Saccharomyces cerevisiae S288C: one gene and its partners. The gene in region 1 interacts genetically with each later gene. Each region holds a gene or a part of one and is shown in the gene's direction. Other genes may lie near its edges. The genes, in order: GLN3, AZF1 and POL1.

What was found.
Region 2: mutations in GLN3 (region 1) and AZF1 together harm fitness more than expected from each alone (negative genetic interaction), as found in Saccharomyces cerevisiae (3 studies listed by BioGRID).
Region 3: of GLN3 (region 1) and POL1, changing one enhances a phenotype caused by changing the other (phenotypic enhancement), as found in Saccharomyces cerevisiae (2 studies listed by BioGRID, with this or other methods).

The regions. Positions count from the first base shown.
Region 1 is NC_001137.3:228,085-231,844, forward strand, and holds the start of GLN3 (nitrogen-responsive transcriptional regulator GLN3), read left to right. Parts: upstream 1-1,710; coding exon 1,711-3,760. Other genes in the region: Smc5-Smc6 complex subunit KRE29, read right to left, coding at 1-168; FMP49 (Fmp49p), read left to right, coding at 367-747; HVG1 (putative GDP-mannose transporter), read right to left, coding at 372-1,121; YER039C-A (uncharacterized protein), read right to left, coding at 1,179-1,397. UniProt on the Saccharomyces cerevisiae protein: Positive nitrogen regulatory protein. Required for the activation of transcription of a number of genes (including the allantoin pathway genes) in response to the replacement of glutamine by glutamate as source of nitrogen.
Region 2 is NC_001147.6:531,915-535,674, forward strand, and holds the start of AZF1 (Azf1p), read left to right. Parts: upstream 1-2,160; coding exon 2,161-3,760. Other genes in the region: COPI-interacting protein CEX1, read left to right, coding at 1-1,879. UniProt on the Saccharomyces cerevisiae protein: Transcription factor involved in the diauxic shift. In the presence of glucose, activates carbon and energy metabolism genes, and in te presence of glycerol-lactate, activates genes needed for cell wall maintenance.
Region 3 is NC_001146.8:428,157-431,916, forward strand, and holds the start of POL1 (DNA-directed DNA polymerase alpha catalytic subunit POL1), read left to right. Parts: upstream 1-1,930; coding exon 1,931-3,760. Other genes in the region: MET4 (Met4p), read left to right, coding at 1-1,597. UniProt on the Saccharomyces cerevisiae protein: Catalytic component of DNA polymerase alpha, which in complex with DNA primase (DNA polymerase alpha:primase) constitutes a replicative polymerase. POL1 has a role in promoting telomere replication during interaction with CDC13.

The DNA.
Region 1 (3,760 bases):
GTCGTTCTCAGGATCACTAATAAAGTTGGGATGCACCTTCTCATCGTCATCGTCATCGCGAAAGTAACTTCCCACACTAGTCGGTATCAAAGGAGAATCAAACCCTGAAATTTGTGAATCTGGCACAGTTTCAAACTCTTCATTCGGTGATGAGTTCACGCTTCCCATTTGTGACACTGCCCTTTTGTGCGTCTAACAAAATTTTATCACTTTATTGCTATTTACTTGAAAAATTATATATGAATATATTTCATAAAACGATGCTGACATAATATGTAACATAAAAAAAGGAATAACCTAAAACAAATACAAAGAAGACCCCATATAAATGAATATAAATGTATATTTTGCTTGAGCAAATGAAGAATGTACTACTTCTCAAGAGTAGCTGCTAGAACTTTTTGCTGTTGTATCTTTTTCTGTTTAGCCACAGCGTACAGCAGGCCAGACAGAAATCCTAGAAAGATAGAAAAGAAGGACAAAAAGTTTTTTGGAGCGTCAAAGAACACCAATCCCGCCAACGCTATGGGCAATTTGTTCAAAGCACCAACCATAGAATACGTTGTAGAGGAAGTTACACGAACACACCAGCCGGAACAGTACGATATCCCCACGGACATGAGCCCACTGATGACCATTGCTGCCAGTGAGTCGGCGGACAAGTTCACAGACAAATTCTTTGTGGACCAATCTTCCATAATGAAGGAAAAGACTAGCAGCAAAGGCAATGCCAGAACGTTGTTATAAAACATAGTATCATAGTCTTTAAAGTTAGTCAGCCGAATTCTCTTCCGCATAATCAAAACGAACAATGCAGACGAAATACAATTGGTGAACATCCAGAGGTACCCCGGATTCAACACAAAGATGGTTGACTCAACAAGTTCCTGATCGAGATCCTCCAAAGATGATGCTTTGATTGCAATGGCCTGCTGATCGCCCCAGGTGGCCACTACAGATGAAAGGACCATCATAATAAATGACGTCAACTCCATAGAAGTGACTTTTCCGCCAAAGAAGAGGACCTCGCCATAAGCAATGAGAATGATCGTCAGATTCTTGAAAATTGTGTAGATGGGCACGGCAAGGTATTGTAAGCTCTTTGACGACGTATAAATCATCAATACGAGCAGCAAAGAAATTGGAAACCAGTTTTTTACATCTGTCCTGTTCAAAGATCAAAAATTAGCAACGCCTACAATTCGTAGGATACATAGCGTCACAGTGCACACCAGTGATTGTACAAACAACATCACAAAGTTCATGTTAAAGTTGTCCAGGTTAACCACGAATTTGTTCGTTACTGTCATCAAAATCGAGGACGCGCAGTAAGATAAGATTGAAGCCGGCCCAGAGTTGGCCACTGATTCCGTCCATTCATGCTTATGCTTGCTCATAATTACCACACCTTCTTGATCTCTTTACAGCTTTTCAACCTTCCATTCTTGTACTCTATCTCTACCTGGCCCTTTAAACATTCTTAATATGATATATTCACATTTTTTGCTCTATTACCCGGCGGACAGGTTCCCGAAAGAAAGTGACATGGCAATGCTGAGAGAGTGGAAAGAGTCATCTTGCAAGACAGAGAAAGATGTTCAAGAGTGGTAAGCTAATGTCAGCGCAGTAGCCCATCCCACAATAACAGAGTGTGTAAGAAAGAGAGACGAGAGAGAGCACAGGGCCCCCTTTTCCCCCACCAACAAACAAATGCAAGACGACCCCGAAAATTCGAAGCTGTACGACCTGCTGAATAGTCATCTGGACGTGCATGGTCGAAGTAATGAAGAGCCGAGACAAACTGGTGACAGTAGGAGCCAGAGTAGTGGCAACACCGGTGAAAACGAGGAGGATATAGCATTTGCCAGTGGATTAAACGGCGGCACATTCGACTCAATGCTGGAGGCACTGCCCGATGATTTATATTTTACGGACTTCGTGTCTCCTTTTACAGCAGCTGCCACGACCAGCGTGACTACTAAGACGGTCAAGGACACCACACCAGCTACCAATCATATGGATGATGATATTGCGATGTTTGATTCACTTGCCACAACTCAGCCCATCGACATAGCCGCATCCAACCAACAAAATGGTGAAATTGCACAACTTTGGGACTTTAACGTGGACCAATTCAACATGACGCCCAGCAACTCGAGCGGTTCAGCTACTATTAGTGCTCCTAACAGCTTTACTTCCGACATACCGCAATACAACCACGGTTCCCTCGGCAACAGCGTCTCCAAATCCTCACTGTTCCCGTATAATTCCAGCACGTCCAACAGCAACATCAACCAGCCATCTATCAATAACAACTCAAATACTAATGCGCAGTCCCACCATTCCTTCAACATCTACAAACTACAAAACAACAACTCATCTTCATCCGCTATGAACATTACCAATAATAATAATAGCAACAATAGTAATATCCAGCATCCTTTTCTGAAGAAGAGCGATTCGATAGGATTATCTTCATCCAACACAACAAATTCTGTAAGAAAAAACTCACTTATCAAGCCAATGTCGTCCACGTCCCTGGCCAATTTCAAAAGAGCTGCCTCAGTATCTTCCAGTATATCCAATATGGAACCATCAGGACAAAATAAAAAACCTCTGATACAATGTTTCAATTGTAAAACTTTCAAGACACCGCTTTGGAGGAGAAGCCCAGAGGGGAATACTCTTTGCAATGCCTGCGGTCTTTTCCAGAAATTACATGGTACCATGAGGCCATTATCCTTAAAATCGGACGTTATCAAAAAGAGGATTTCAAAGAAGAGAGCCAAACAAACGGACCCAAACATTGCACAAAATACTCCAAGTGCACCTGCAACTGCCTCAACTTCAGTAACCACTACAAATGCTAAACCCATACGATCGAGGAAAAAATCACTACAACAAAACTCTTTATCTAGAGTGATACCTGAAGAAATCATTAGAGACAACATCGGTAATACTAATAATATCCTTAATGTAAATAGGGGAGGCTATAACTTCAACTCAGTCCCCTCCCCGGTCCTCATGAACAGCCAATCGTATAATAGTAGTAACGCAAATTTTAATGGAGCAAGCAATGCAAATTTGAATTCTAATAACTTAATGCGTCACAATTCGAACACTGTTACTCCTAATTTTAGAAGGTCTTCAAGACGAAGTAGTACTTCATCGAACACCTCAAGTTCCAGTAAATCTTCATCCAGATCTGTTGTTCCGATATTACCAAAACCTTCACCTAATAGCGCTAATTCACAGCAGTTCAACATGAACATGAACCTAATGAACACAACAAATAATGTAAGTGCAGGAAATAGTGTCGCATCCTCACCAAGAATTATATCGTCCGCAAACTTTAACTCAAATAGTCCTCTACAGCAGAATCTATTATCAAATTCTTTCCAACGTCAAGGAATGAATATACCAAGAAGAAAGATGTCGCGCAATGCATCGTACTCCTCATCGTTTATGGCTGCGTCTTTGCAACAACTGCACGAACAGCAACAAGTGGACGTGAATTCCAACACAAACACGAATTCGAATAGACAGAATTGGAATTCAAGCAATAGCGTTTCAACAAATTCAAGATCATCAAATTTTGTCTCTCAAAAGCCAAATTTTGATATTTTTAATACTCCTGTAGATTCACCGAGTGTCTCAAGACCTTCTTCAAGAAAATCACATACCTCATTGTTATCACAACAATTGCAGAACTCGGAGTCGAATTCGTTTATCTCAAATCACAAATTTAACAATAGATTAT
Region 2 (3,760 bases), on another chromosome or scaffold:
TAAAGATTCTGTTTTTATCAATATTAAGGGAGAGTGGGTACTATTTGGGCTAGAACTTTGTTCAAGCAAAGAAGGATTAAGTGCGTTTGAATTTGCCAGTAGAGCGAGGTCATATTACAACATAATTGGCTCACAGTTGCCCTGTGAAGATCCGAATACAATTGATTCAATGGGGTTAGGATTGTTGATAAAGAGCCTTATGGCTCCTTCTTGTCTGCCCAAAGATTGGATTGTCAATGTAAATATGATTTCAGATGGAAAGATAACAATCGAAAACTTCAGAAAAAGGCTAGAAAATACAGAAACTTGGCGTTCTAATCCTTTGATAAACTTTTATCAAGAATTGAGGGAGTTGCATATAAAGGACCCACAGGGAAAATTGGTTGTGATGTCAAACTTGGAAAATTTGTATTTAGAGTCAAGAGAGATTTTCCGTAATTTAACGCCTGGAATGATAGAAAATTTTATTATTCCAGAGCTTTGTGAAATTATAAAATTATTAATGACACAAAGCATCAGTAGTGCTGCCAGCCCTATAGGCATGAACTTCAACGCATCACATAAACTAGTACCATTCTTAGCGATTGTTTTAGACCTAACTTCTGAAACGAACACCTTTCCAGTTGGTTTCAACGACCTTATCACCCAAAGTTTTAAACTGCCAGATAGGCAAGTAAGATTTCTTTTACTAATATACCTACCCAAATTAATAGGTCCATTGAGCAAATCAGAGATCTCCAGTAGGATATATCCACATTTTATCCAAGGTCTGACCGACTCTGATGCCACTCTTAGATTACAAACACTGAAGACAATTCCATGCATTGTGTCATGTTTAACAGAGAGACAACTGAATAATGAGCTACTGAGGTTTCTCGCAAAAACACAGGTTGATTCTGACGTTGAAATCCGAACATGGACAGTCATCATAATAAGTAAAATCTCAACCATATTATCAACGTCAGTTGGTAATCGCTCGAATATTTTAGCTACGGCGTTCACAAAATCTTTGAAAGATCCTCAAGTAAAACCAAGATTGGCTGCTCTTTATGGGCTTGAGAAGTCGATTGAGCTGTTTGATGTGAACACAATCGCCAACAAAATTTTAACAGTCATTGCCCCTGGTTTATTAGATAAAAGTCCCATAGTAAGAGGCAGAGCCAAAATCCTGTTCGAAGAATATCTGGAAAAATTGGAAAAAGAAGCCCAACTTATTCAAACAAACGATAGTACTGCAGATTCGGAAGATGTGAAAGATATTGATTTTGAGAATTACGGTTGTGATGAAGAGGATATGAATAAAGAAGACAATTTGTTAGCCGCACAATTTTTAAATAATTTACGTTTAAATTCTCCCTCAGCAACAACACCAAGTAACATTACCGAGAGCGAAATTGATTCCGCCCAGGATGGAAGTGGATGGGACGACCTCAGCGATACCGATGGCTTTATTACAAATGGTACCACAGAATCCTTCGATGAAACAACAAACCCTGTAACAACCGCAAGCACCCCAAAATTATTCGGAAAACCTATTAAAATTAATAAAAGTTGGAATGATGAGTTGAATGATGATGGCTGGATTCAAGATGAAAGCGGCCCATCAAAGGTGCCTCAAAAACACACAAGGCCACAAAATTCAACGTTGGCAAAATCCATCGCTCCTAGCTCAAGGCTTTCTATCAAGAAGAAGAAAACAACGATCCTAGCACCAAGAAACATTGCTAGTAACTCTACTGTTACCACCAAATCGTCACTGTCCAATAAAACTGCAAGAAGTAAGCCTATAAGTAGTATCCGCGGCTCGGTAACCAAGAAAGGAAATGTTGACGGCTGGGATGATGATGGGGATTCAGACTCCTGGGATACGAATTGGTGATCCCAAGACTTATATAGCCCTACGTATTGTAGAAGGATATATTCAGTGTTAATCGTTATTTAGAAACATTACGCCCGTGCCCCGCGATTTCGCTTCTTTGAGAAGTGGAGGAAAAGAAGGGTCCCTTTAATTCCAGTAGAAATGAAGCATAAGCAAGAAGAGTCATCAGAAAAGGGAACCTTGTAGTACTATAGATGGTCCCACAGAGAAATTAATTGGGACAAAAACAGCTACACAAGCGATATACTTCAAAAGATTCAGATATTGAAAAATTACCAGCCATGCCTCCTCCAACTGCACAGTTCATGGGCCCTACGCAGGCGGGACAAAATGAAAGCCAAAATCAATCATCAGGCGAAGCTGGGGAGCAAAACCAGGAGCATGGGCAAGGCCCTACTCCTATTCTTAATCAAAGTCAACCGGCTTCTTCTCAACCGCAACATCAACAACAAAGGAATGAGTCGATTTCATATTATACAAATTTCAACCAGCCACGATATTCCACGGACGCCTCTATCAACTCATTCTTGAACATATCTGATAACGTACCAGTAACAAGTACAGGAGGACCTAGTTCTGGCGGCGCCTATTCCAATCTTCCACGATTATCCACTTCAAGTACACATCAACCGCCAGACCTGTCGCAAATCGGACGCGGCTTTTCCATTGTAAACAACCTCTTCCCACAACAACAGCAGCTTCAAAATCAGCATCGGCAACAGCAGCAACAACAACAACAGCAGTCGCACCAGCAGCCTCCCTTCAAGACCCCTTCATTTTCGACGGGATTAACGGGAAGTTCTTCTCAATATCAATTTTTACCAAGAAATGATAATACTTCGCAGCCACCTTCAAAAAGAAACTCTGTTTATCTTGGACCTAATGATGGGCCTGATTTTGAATTTTTCAGTATGCAGCAGTCACAGCAACCGCAGTTCCAGCCTAGCAGTAGAAGAGAATCAAACTCTATGAGACCTCCACTGTTAATACCTGCAGCAACTACTAAAAGCCAGTCCAATGGCACCAATAATAGTGGGAATATGAACACAAATGCAGATTATGAATCATTTTTTAATACTGGTACAAACAACAGTAATTCTAATCAGAACCCGTACTTTTTGAGTTCAAGAAATAATTCTTTGAAGTTTAATCCTGAAGATTTCGATTTTCAATTCAAAAGGCGGAATTCTTTTGTTAGAGGTACTTTGGACCATAGCAGCCAAAATGCGTTTATACCTGAATCAAGATTAAACTCACTATCCGTTAACAACAAAGCTAATGGTGATCCTGTCGCGGATAATGTTACCAATAACATGAAAGGAAAAAGTAATGAAGTTGACAATGATGATGGCAATGACAGTAGCAATAACAATAACAACAACAACAACAACAACAACAATGAAAACAACAATGACAACAATAATGATAATAACGACAATAGTATTAATTCCGCCACCAGTACTAATATCCCAAACCAAGAGGACCATAGCCTTGCTTCTACCGATACCACAAGCAATAGTAGGAAAGATCTAAAAGAAATAGAACAAAGACTTCGAAAACATTTGAATGATGAGGATAATTACTCTAGTGCTATATCAAGACCATTGGATAAAAACGACGTAATTGAAGGCAGTGAGGGATTGAACAAACATATAGACGAGTCTGGTATGCAACCTAATATTATCAAGAAAAGGAAAAAGGATGATTCTACTGTGTACGTCAAGAATGAGATGCCCCGTACTGATCCCCCGATGAGTAAAGACAATTCTACTTCTGCTGAAGGAGCAGCAATGGCAAACTTTTCTGGTAAAGAACCTCCTATACCTGACATAAGTTCAGTAAGTGATGATGCTACTAACCTGATAGGTGCAACAAAGGTCG
Region 3 (3,760 bases), on another chromosome or scaffold:
TGAACAACTAGCCATTGAGTTGAGTGCGTTTGCCGACGATTCTTTCATCTTCCCAGACGAGGATAAGCCGAGCAATAACAATAACAACAGCAATAATGGTAATGACGACCATAGCAACCACGACGTATTGCATGAGGACCCTTCTACCAATAATAGACAAAGAAATCCTCACTTCTTGACTCAAAGAAGGAATACTTTCCTAACTTCCCAATACGACCAATCAAAGTCTCGATTTTCGTCCAAAAACAAAAGAAATGGCAATAACGGCGAAACAAACAACTTTGGCGACAATATGCAAAATAACCATCCTTTTGAGCCAAACTTTATGGGAAGCCCTTCTCAGTTTCCCGCTGACGCAACTAATATGACATCAATCGACCATGGCGGCTTCACAAATGTTGACATTACATCAACTGAGAACAATACTACCGGTGACAATGGAGTGGATGCGCTATCAAATCTACTACATAGGACAACACACACACCGAACCGCTCCTCCCCCCTAAGCAATGTCACTTCTGCTCAAAATTCCTCTTCACAACAACGAAAACATTCGGAAAGCAAAGTCGATAGTAACAGCGATAATAACAGCTCCAACAAAGCCCCCAATATAACTGTTCCTGACTATTCAATTATACCAACCTCTGTTTTAGTAACTCTATTACCGAGGGTCAACGTGCCCAACGGCGCATATAACTCGTTGATCAGCGCGGGATTTGACAATGATCAAATAGATGCTATAGCCGCAATAATGGCGTATCATCATCAAAAAAAGATTAGGGAAAATAACAGTAATAATAATAAAAACATCAACACCAATGACAGTCAAGAGGCACCCATTCTAAAAAACATCAACGAACTTTTAAGTGTCTTAATACCACCCTCTCCGGCTGAAACTGCTGCGCCAACTACCTTATCAACGTCGCCTTCGTTCAATGAGCACGGTGTAGTAGCAGAGGCTTCTTTTCTAAGCTCCATTTTGGAACTGGGCATAAAGCATCCAAAAAGTAATAATATTCACAATCAACGACAACCTTCACGAAACGATCATAAAATATCAAGAGAGAGTGACGGTAACAATGGAAACGATAATGTCCATCATAATAACGCTGTTATTAAGTCAAGTACGACGCGTGGAGACGAAATTGCCAAGATACGATCCGAGCCAACTTTAAATGCAAGTTCTTCTGATCACAAGGAAAATAGTTTAAAAAGATCACACTCCGGAGATTTGAAAAATAAAAAAGTACCCGTCGACCGCAAGTATTCTGATAATGAAGACGATGAATATGACGATGCAGATTTACACGGCTTTGAAAAGAAGCAACTGATCAAGAAAGAGTTAGGGGACGACGATGAAGATTTATTGATACAGTCGAAAAAATCTCATCAAAAAAAAAAACTAAAGGAAAAGGAGTTAGAATCATCGATACATGAACTGACCGAAATTGCAGCATCCTTACAAAAACGGATACATACGTTAGAAACGGAAAACAAGCTTTTAAAGAATTTAGTTCTGAGTAGCGGTGAAACGGAAGGAATAAAAAAAGCTGAAAGCTTAAAGAAGCAAATTTTTGAGAAGGTTCAGAAAGAATAAAATAACAGACTATACAGTTTAATTATATATATATATATATATACGTGCATTTTTCTTAAAGAAATATAACTTTTTTCTTGTACTGCCTGCAATCTCTATTCTTCATTCATCACACATCTATTCAAACGCGTTAAAATTTTTTTGTTAGCCTATAAGTAAAACGCGTCGCGTGTATCCAATTTTACTGAATTAAATTCTTTACTCATTGGATGATATATATCTTCTTGGTCTAGACAACGAACACATACCAATTCAGACTCACGAGAAAAAAAACTGTCTTCACTCTGCTATTAGAAACCAAATAGTATCAAGGCATAAAATAAACAGTGGAAAATGTCTTCTAAAAGTGAAAAATTAGAAAAATTGAGAAAGCTGCAAGCCGCTCGAAATGGTACATCCATCGATGATTACGAAGGTGACGAATCAGATGGTGACAGAATATACGACGAAATCGACGAAAAAGAATACAGGGCCAGAAAGCGCCAGGAATTGCTGCATGACGATTTTGTTGTAGATGACGATGGTGTAGGCTACGTCGATCGTGGTGTCGAAGAAGATTGGAGGGAAGTTGATAACAGTTCAAGTGATGAAGACACTGGAAACCTTGCTAGCAAGGATTCTAAAAGGAAGAAGAATATAAAAAGGGAGAAAGACCACCAGATTACAGATATGCTGCGAACTCAACATTCCAAATCAACACTGCTAGCACATGCAAAAAAATCCCAAAAAAAAAGTATCCCCATCGATAATTTTGATGACATTCTTGGTGAGTTTGAATCTGGTGAAGTAGAAAAACCCAATATTTTACTGCCATCCAAATTAAGGGAAAATTTAAATTCTTCGCCGACTAGTGAATTTAAATCGTCAATAAAGAGAGTTAACGGAAACGATGAGTCAAGTCATGATGCCGGTATTTCTAAAAAAGTCAAGATTGATCCAGATTCAAGTACTGATAAATATTTAGAAATCGAATCATCACCGTTAAAATTACAAAGCAGGAAACTGCGCTACGCAAATGATGTACAGGATTTATTGGATGATGTGGAAAATTCCCCAGTAGTAGCCACAAAGAGACAGAATGTACTTCAAGATACGTTACTAGCAAATCCACCATCCGCTCAAAGTTTGGCTGATGAAGAAGATGATGAAGATAGTGATGAAGATATTATTCTGAAAAGAAGAACTATGAGAAGTGTGACAACAACTAGACGCGTGAATATAGACTCAAGAAGTAACCCTTCAACTTCACCGTTTGTCACAGCACCCGGAACGCCAATCGGTATTAAAGGACTAACTCCAAGTAAATCTTTGCAGAGCAACACCGATGTTGCTACACTTGCGGTTAATGTCAAAAAGGAAGATGTGGTAGATCCGGAAACTGATACTTTCCAAATGTTTTGGTTGGATTACTGTGAAGTGAACAACACTTTGATTTTATTTGGTAAGGTTAAACTAAAGGATGATAATTGTGTGTCAGCCATGGTTCAAATCAACGGTCTCTGTAGAGAGCTATTTTTCCTTCCAAGAGAGGGTAAAACACCTACCGATATACACGAGGAAATAATTCCGTTACTGATGGATAAATATGGACTGGATAATATCCGCGCTAAACCTCAAAAAATGAAATATTCGTTTGAGCTTCCTGACATTCCATCTGAAAGTGATTATTTGAAAGTCTTACTTCCATACCAAACACCGAAGTCCAGTCGAGACACCATTCCATCGGATTTATCTAGCGATACCTTTTATCATGTTTTTGGTGGGAATTCCAATATTTTTGAAAGTTTTGTTATTCAAAATAGGATTATGGGACCATGCTGGTTAGATATAAAGGGAGCAGATTTCAATTCAATTCGTAATGCTTCTCACTGTGCGGTTGAAGTTTCGGTAGATAAGCCTCAGAATATCACGCCTACTACAACAAAGACAATGCCTAATCTGAGATGTCTATCTTTATCGATTCAGACGTTAATGAATCCCAAGGAAAATAAGCAAGAGATTGTTTCGATAACGTTATCAGCATATAGAAATATCTCGTTGGATTCACCGATACCTGAAAATATAAAACCAGACGACTTGTGTACTTTAGTAAGGCCGCCTCAGTCAACTAGTTTCCCATTAGGTTTAGCTGCACTGGCAAAACAGAAACTACCCGGTAGAGTC